2 linked regions of the Canis lupus familiaris genome follow. The protein of the gene in region 2 interacts with the protein of the main gene of each other region in a biochemical or structural test. Links are inferred from orthologs where the notes say so. Each region holds a gene or a part of one and is shown on either strand. Other genes may lie near its edges.

The links.
Region 1: the proteins of RAB11A (region 2) and RAB11FIP4 form a complex in vitro, tested with the Homo sapiens proteins (2 studies listed by BioGRID, with this or other methods). The link is inferred for Canis lupus familiaris from reciprocal best matches to the Homo sapiens genes RAB11A and RAB11FIP4.

The regions. Positions count from the first base shown.
Region 1 is NC_049230.1:41,314,229-41,318,044, forward strand, and holds part of RAB11FIP4 (rab11 family-interacting protein 4), read right to left. Parts: intron 3,448-3,816; coding exon 3,331-3,447; 3' UTR 1-3,330. UniProt on the Homo sapiens protein: Acts as a regulator of endocytic traffic by participating in membrane delivery. Required for the abscission step in cytokinesis, possibly by acting as an 'address tag' delivering recycling endosome membranes to the cleavage furrow during late cytokinesis.
Region 2 is NC_049251.1:30,631,063-30,634,878, reverse strand, and holds part of RAB11A (ras-related protein Rab-11A), read right to left. Parts: intron 3,554-3,816; coding exon 3,358-3,553; intron 3,123-3,357; coding exon 2,929-3,122; intron 2,012-2,928; coding exon 1,931-2,011; intron 1-1,930. UniProt on the Homo sapiens protein: The small GTPases Rab are key regulators of intracellular membrane trafficking, from the formation of transport vesicles to their fusion with membranes.

The sequences.
Region 1 (3,816 bases), on a different chromosome or scaffold from region 2:
CCTCTACCCCTGACTAGCAACCTTCCAGTCTCAACCTTGGGCTACACATCAGCATGACCCGGGGAGCTCTCTGAACATCTGGATGCCTGGGCTACCCCCACATTGATTAAATTGGAATCTTGGGGCCGGGCAGCCAGCGGTTCGGCCCAGTCAGCACAGTTCCCAAGCCTCCCCAGGTTATCCCGATGCACAGCCCAAGCTGAAAACCACTGTTTCAGGTCCAAGTGCTTTGGGAGGTTCTTGGGCTCTGTAAGAGGTTTGCAGTAAGTCAGAAATAAAGTCAAAATAAAGCAATCTCCCTCTGACAAGGGAAAAACTCAAAAAATAATTTGTCTGACTTGACCAAAGCTCACTCACTGATTCTGCAAATTTTCTCTGCCTTCCAGTTGGATGTAAGGATGGCCGAGTGCTGTGTAAGACATTGGGTCTGTTGCAGAACCCCCCTTCCTGTGCCCCCGAAACCCCCCTAAACCTCGGAAGAGTCACTACGAATCCCTACTTGGTAGAGTTGCCAGGTTCAGCAAAAACAAAACACAAAGCGCATCCCCCCTACCCAGGCACCCAGTTAAATTATAATCACCTGGGAAGCTCTTTAACCTTTCCAAATACCTGGGCCGCACCCCCACACCACTGGCATCAGAACCTCTGGGGATTTGGCCCAGGTGGCAGAATTTTAAAATCTCCCCATTTTGAGCGTGTCCCAAGCATTGCGTGGAACGTAACTTCTACTGGGAGTTGGCTTCCGTTTGCCGGAATGCACAGGGAGCTGGGCGTCGTGTGTCCAACCCAGCGGCTCCCGGGCCGAGGGGCAAGTGCAGAACTTTCACGTGGACAACATGCAGAGGAGGGGGAAGCACTGGGGGGGGGAGGGGTCGGCCCCACCTGCCCCCAGTTAGGGCGCTCTGGAACCCCTGCTGGGGCCATGGGGCTGGGGCGCTGGGGCCATGGGGCTGGGGCCCTGGGGCCATGTGCCTCCGTTGGGGCTTGTTTTCCTGCATGGAAGGGCAGCTAAAGACACTTTAAAAGCCAGTTAGCCTAGGTTTTAGAAGATGATTTTGGCTCCAGAAAGTTGGATTTAACTTGAGACAAAGTCCATGTAACCCAGGCCTCATTTTAAAGTCGGCGGTCTTCCAGAGATCCCATGCACAGCACCAGGTCCCCTTGGGGCGGTTCAGATGCCGGCTTCCTGGGGGAGGCTGGTCCTGTGGTGCCCCCTTCAGGAAGGAGGCAGCAAAACATTGTCAGCCCACCTTTTCCGCAACAAAGCAGAAACTCCCTCCCACATAGGGACTGTGTAACCCAGGCCTCTGGGACCTTCTCTGGAATTCCATACCAGTGCAGCTAAAGGACATATAAAGTTTTATGTATAAAATGTTCACCCCTGGGGCGAGTCCCCCATGGACCTTGAGGACCTTGATCTGGCTGGCCTCTGTAGGACTCCTTCCAAAGTAAAATCCAGACCAAAGCCAAGTCATGATAGGTCCTTCTTTCCCTTCAATTCGGTACCATTCTCTACTATTAGCATATTCTCAAGAAATCCACTCCTCTTGGCCTTCTTTCTACTGCTGCTCCTCAGACCCCTGGAAGAGCCCAAGGGGACCAGCATCCTAGGGGCTTGAGAGACTCTTAGAAGACTGATCCCTTGCCCTAGTCTTCCTGGGGTAGGTGGCCCCAAAGTCCTGGATCAGACCAAGGCAGCCCCATTATCTGTAGCATGGAACAAATCCCAAACATATGCTTAAGCAGAAATCACACAAGCCAACAAAAGCAGAGGTTGAGTGGAATGGAACGAAGATCGGTCCTGGCCAATCCCTACCTTTGTGAACAGGGTACATACATACCCAAGACCCCAAGCCCCTTCTCACCCTCTCCTGTCCTCTCTTCTCTGTGCACACCCTTCCATGCCCCTCCCCAACATGCCTAAACCTTCCTTTTTACACTAGAGTTGCTGAAGACAACACGAAACTGCAGCGGGGGTGGGGGGGAGATATAAGACCATTCATATTTATCTACACGTAGTTCATACATGTTTGGACTAAAGAAATGAACGACAAGCCATATACAACTGAGACAAACTCAAAGTAAAACTCAAAGTACCATATCTACTCCCAGCTGCCTAGAACAAAAGATCACATTAAAAATCCAGAGTGTGCCTTTCCAGCACATGTCAGGAGGATGGAAGACTAAGGTTTCCCTAAAATGTCTGACCCCAACTGTGTCTCTCGCCAGCACCCCTCTCCTGGCAGAGATCGGAATGCAAGAGTGTTTTTGAACGGTGCTGGAACGCGGGGACCTTGCTATCCAGCTGAGCCAAGCCCAGAGCTCAGAATCCAAAAATCCTAGGCTGAGGCCTGCTGTCCCCAGGCCACGTGGAGAACGGGAGTTGGAAAGCAGGGCCCACTCCCAGCCCACCAGTACCTGCGGGCTCCTGGGAAAATGCAGCCAGAGGGAAGGAGACGGAACAGGGATGGGAGCACGCTCCTCCCTGAAAAGCAAGTCTTTGGATGCCCAATGCCAATACGTGCTGCTTGAGACACCCTTGGCCCCCAGCCTGTCTCCTTCCTTTTAATCCCTTCATCGTACACCCAAGTGAAGTGCTGCTTATTTTTCACGGTCTTAAAAATCAAACAGAAAGAGGTAGGTGAAGTAGGGATGGGGAAGTGTATGGGGAACTCTCAAAATGCCAAGAACCCTTAGAACGAAGGTCGCCCCACGCCAGCTCCTCTGTAGGCCCGAGTCCTTTGGACACACAGAGCACAAGCATCACGGGGGGCTGCCAGCCTGGGAGGGGCTCTGGGAGGGCCCCTTCCTCCTTTCAGAGCCTGAGCACCTAGGCTTCAGAGGTGGCCGAAGAGGTTGGGGAGGATGCAGCTGTTGGGCATTCCAGCTCCTAGAAAAAATCATCAATCTGCTCCCACTCCCAGAGGGAACAGCGGTGGGGTGAAAGAGCCTGTCTCACTAGCGTGTGATTTAATCCTTATCCCCAGAGGTAGAATCATTTTTATCCAGTATCTGAAACACAATCTTCCAGTTCTCGTGATCACAGCAGCTCCTGATAGCAGACCCTGTCCTTCCCACCACCAGTACTGTCTGTCCTTGCGCAGGAACCACAGAATGCACGGATAGCGACCGCACAGAGGTCCTCCACGGCCACGGCCCCACGTTCAGCCCTTGCTGTGTGCACGGCTTCCCCGCATACACACCGGCACACAGGACAGGGTGGCCAGAGATACATTTCCGGTGTGTGTGTGAGGCCCGGCTGGGGCCGCATCCTCAGGCAGGTCTGGGGGTCTGAGGGTCCCTGAGGCCGTGCCGCAGCCAGCCCTTATCTCAGTGTTTGATCTCAAGGATGGAGGGGTTGTGGTCCAGGATGGCCAGGATAATCTTGTCCATGTACTGCCTCAGCCGGAAGTTGATCTCCTCCTGTTCCTTTAGGGCTTCCATGAGCTGGAGGGAACAGGAGAGGCAGGTCAGAGACTCAGCAGCGACCCAGTACCCCACGACAGAGGGGCTAAGGAGACTCTGGGCAAGGCAGCCCCAAGGCCAGCCTCAGCACTCAGGGGCCAGAAACAAGCAAAAGCAGTAAGAATACACACCAAAGGTGTGGCCTCTGCAGATGCCCACGCCCCACCCCCAGGGATCAGAATTGGTCTGTGGAGTGACCCAAGCGTGAGCAATTACTTGGTACAGGCTGAGAACACTGGCCAAAGACATCTACAGTCAAGAACGACTTCCAGGGACACCTGGGTGGCTCAGTGGTTGAGTGTCTGCCTTTGGCTCAGGCCATAATCCCCAGGTCCTGGGATGGAGTCCTGC
Region 2 (3,816 bases):
GCTATTTAACTACTAATTCATCAAATGTCCACTCTGTACTAGGTATAAGTTAAGCATTTTTTACGTGTATGAACTCATGAATTCATTTTTGGAGTCTAGAGTAGATGTCTCAAATAACAGGCAACTCTTTTCTGTGAGTTACAGAGATAAAAACCTTTGAGTCACAACATAACAGTTAAGTCAAATCATACCACAAGGTATTTATAAATATAAGCCCTCTTAAAAAAGCACAAAACTATTTATTTTTAATTTAATGTTGATTTTAATTTAACATATTTAAATTTTACAGATAAAGAATTTAAGACCTAGAAAAGTTAGGTAATTTGCTTAAGATTACAGAGCCAATGGTAACTGAAGGAGCCAGGACTAAAACACAAATCAGGGTTCCAGGACCATGCTCTTAAATTCTAGGCTTTATTCTCTACATATTTCAAGTCTGAACTATGATGTTTAAAAGTTAAAATTTGTAGATCACTAAATTCTACACCTGAAACTACTATTACATTGTATGTTAACTAACTGGAATTTAAATAAAAACTTGGGAAAATTAAAAATAAAAAAATCAGGGCACCTTTGTGCTCAGCTGGTTAAATATCTGACTCCTTGGGAGACTGCTTAAGATTCTCTCCTTCTCCCTCTGCCCCCCTTACTTTGTACTTGCTCTCTCTACAAAAATAAATAAATTTTAAAAATTTTTAAATAAAAATAAAAGTTAAAATCTGTTAACCTCTAATGCAAGTACTACATACAAAGAATACATTAAAATTTTGTTATATTAAAATTGGAAACGGGACACTTGGGTAGCTCAGTGGTTGAGCATCAGCCTTGGGCTCAGGGTGCGATCCTGGAGTCCCAAGATTGAGTCCCATATCGGGCTCTCCCCAAGGGGCCTGCTTCTCATTCTGCCTATGTGTCTGCCTCTCTCATGAATAAATAAAATCTTTTAAATAAATAAATAAATAAATAAAATTGGAAACTTATTAACCATTTCTCCATACAGACCTGTTCGAAAGTCGTATCAGACTATGGTATATAGTAAGCCTACACTTTACAATAGGAGTTCTTAAAAATAATTTTAAACTACTTTAATACAACCCATCAAACTACTTACTAGAGAATTAAGATTAAACTTGCTGACAAGTTGGTCATTCAAATAAAGTCAGAGTAAATATGAGTCAACATGAATACAGCCTTGAAATCCAAGATTGACCTGATCTGCACATCTAATTTTAAAACAGCATGAACTTTGTTCTTTTTCCACTACTTATTTAAACTTTTTTTTTTTTTAAGATTTTATTTATTTATTCATGAGAGACACAAAGAGAGAGGCAGAGGGAGAAGCAGGCAGAGAGCCCGATGAGGGACGGCCTCAACCACTAAGCCACCCAGGCATCCCCTATTTAAACTTTTCCATATGCAATCACTCACAGATTTTCTCCAGAGATGACACCTTGCTTCTTTTACATCACAAGAGAGTTTTACTTTTTGTTTTTTCATTTAAATTCTTAAAAATAGGTTTTCCCCTAGCTGCTTCTATAATGTATCAGAACAAAGCAAGCCTTTTCTTTGCTAAATCTCAAAGGACATTTCTATCTTCCCATAGTCAGGATTTCAGTATCTTATGAAAATGCCTTTAACCATTACTTTGTACTTGTGACCATAAAGTATGGAATAACTGGACTGAAGCAATAATATAAGTAAACAAATTATTTTCAAAGTACTTTTCCTAATTACAAACCAAATAAACTAGGATAATTAAAGCTCAGCAAGGAAGAATTGTTAACTAATTTTGTACTTTAAACAGCTCTTGCTATAGCAGCTCTCAAATGATAGTTATTCTCAGTGTGATATATAGGTTTCCTAATTTGTTTAAATTACATTCTTCAAACTTCCAATTCCCACTAGCATAATCTAAAAATTCAAGTCTTACCTGTCAGAATTGTCTGAAAAGCAGCTTCTACATTTGTAGAGTCTAGAGCGGAAGTCTCAATGAATGACAAACCATTCTTTTCTGGGGGGGGGGGGGGGGGGGGGGAGGGAAATAAAAACTTCAGTCTTGTCAAATTTTATGAAAGAGATATAATACATTCTAGCCTTCAAAAGGAAAATAACCTAAGTCCTCCTCAATTTCTTGAGCAATAAGGGCATCATTCTATTTACACTTCAGCATATTAAAAAGAACAGTGAAAGATTTTCATTGCCTCCTTAATTAAAAAATACTTGTTACATCTATACACTACCAATGAATGACGTTATTCAAAATGTAGTAAACTTATCAAATACTCAGTTATTTCCATCCATTACTGTCCTTCTCCATCAACAACAGAATTATGATATGAACATGGATGAGTAGGTGTTATCCGCTTAGAATTCTTTAACTATATTATTTGAAATAAAGCGTCTTGCCTGGAAAACTAAAAAACTATTGTAAAAACCTTTATTCACAGCATAATCACTAGTAGACAGTCACAACTTTCACTAGCCAAGAATGCTGCCTTCTAGTAGGCTATTCCAAACAGAAGTTATAGGCAGACCCTCTATTAAATCAAAAAAGTTGGTTGTTGACATTCCCTGGGCCACTGTCTTTCAGACCCACATAGAGCAGCCTTGGTAAAATACTGACATAACAGAGAAAGAGACAGGAAGCACAAAATAAACTGAGAGATATCATCTACCCCTTCCAAGGAAATGAAAGAAAGATTTATATTCAACTCTTGGCAGCAAAAACTCAAAATACTATGTTTTAATGACTCAAAATTAAGCAAGAAAGTCATCACAAACTTTCCGAACAATCCTTGCTGAGTATTCATGTCTACCTTTTTAAAACTACTGTAAGCGATTACGGTCATTGGAAAAGTATCAAAACTGTAAGACATAAGAGTTAAAAATACAGAATCACTGTAATATCATGAAATTCATATCACTAACCTGCAAAAGCTCTTGCTTCATCTGTAGGAACTGCCCTGAGATGACGCAAATCACTCTTATTGCCCACAAGCATGATAACAATGTTACTATCAGCATGATCTCTCAGTTCTTTCAGCCATCGTTCTACATTTTCATATGTGAGATGCTTAGCAATGTCATAAACCAGTAAGGCACCTACAGCTCCACGATAATATCTGAAAACAGAAACAGGTATTTAATGTCAGAAAACAATGGTAAGATGGAAGGGAATACTGAGAAGAACTAAATATATAGATTATATATTTTTAAAAACACATTTATAAATACATTTCAAAATCCTAATACTGGACTTCTTAAGAGGAAAAAAAAAGTTCCTTTTCCAATACCAAAAGTTAGCTAATTCAGTTGATGGCAGTCTATTTCTCAGAATTTAAAAACTATGAGACTTACGCTGATGTTATAGCTCGGTATCGCTCCTGCCCTGCCGTGTCCCATATCTGTGCCTTTATTGTTTTCCCATCAACCTGGATGCTTCTTGTTGCAAACTCTACTCCAATGGTGCTCTTACTTTCGAGATTAAACTCATTTCGAGTAAATCGAGACAAGAGATTACTCTTTCCAACACCAGAATCTCCAATAAGGACAACTGAAAAAAAGACAAAGAATTTAATGTCAGATGAATGGGGCAGACATCGTTCAGAATACTACCACGCTACAAAGCAAAAAAGACAGAACACCTGATTTTTTTTTTTTACAAGGGATGGGGGCAGGAAAGGCAAATAGTCCATGTTCTTGACCTGTTACCAATCGATAAAACCAATTTATTCTTTTTAAATTGTTTCTACCCACATAATAACTTCCACACATCATCTGCTTAGCACAAATACAGTATCCTGTCTTACATATGCA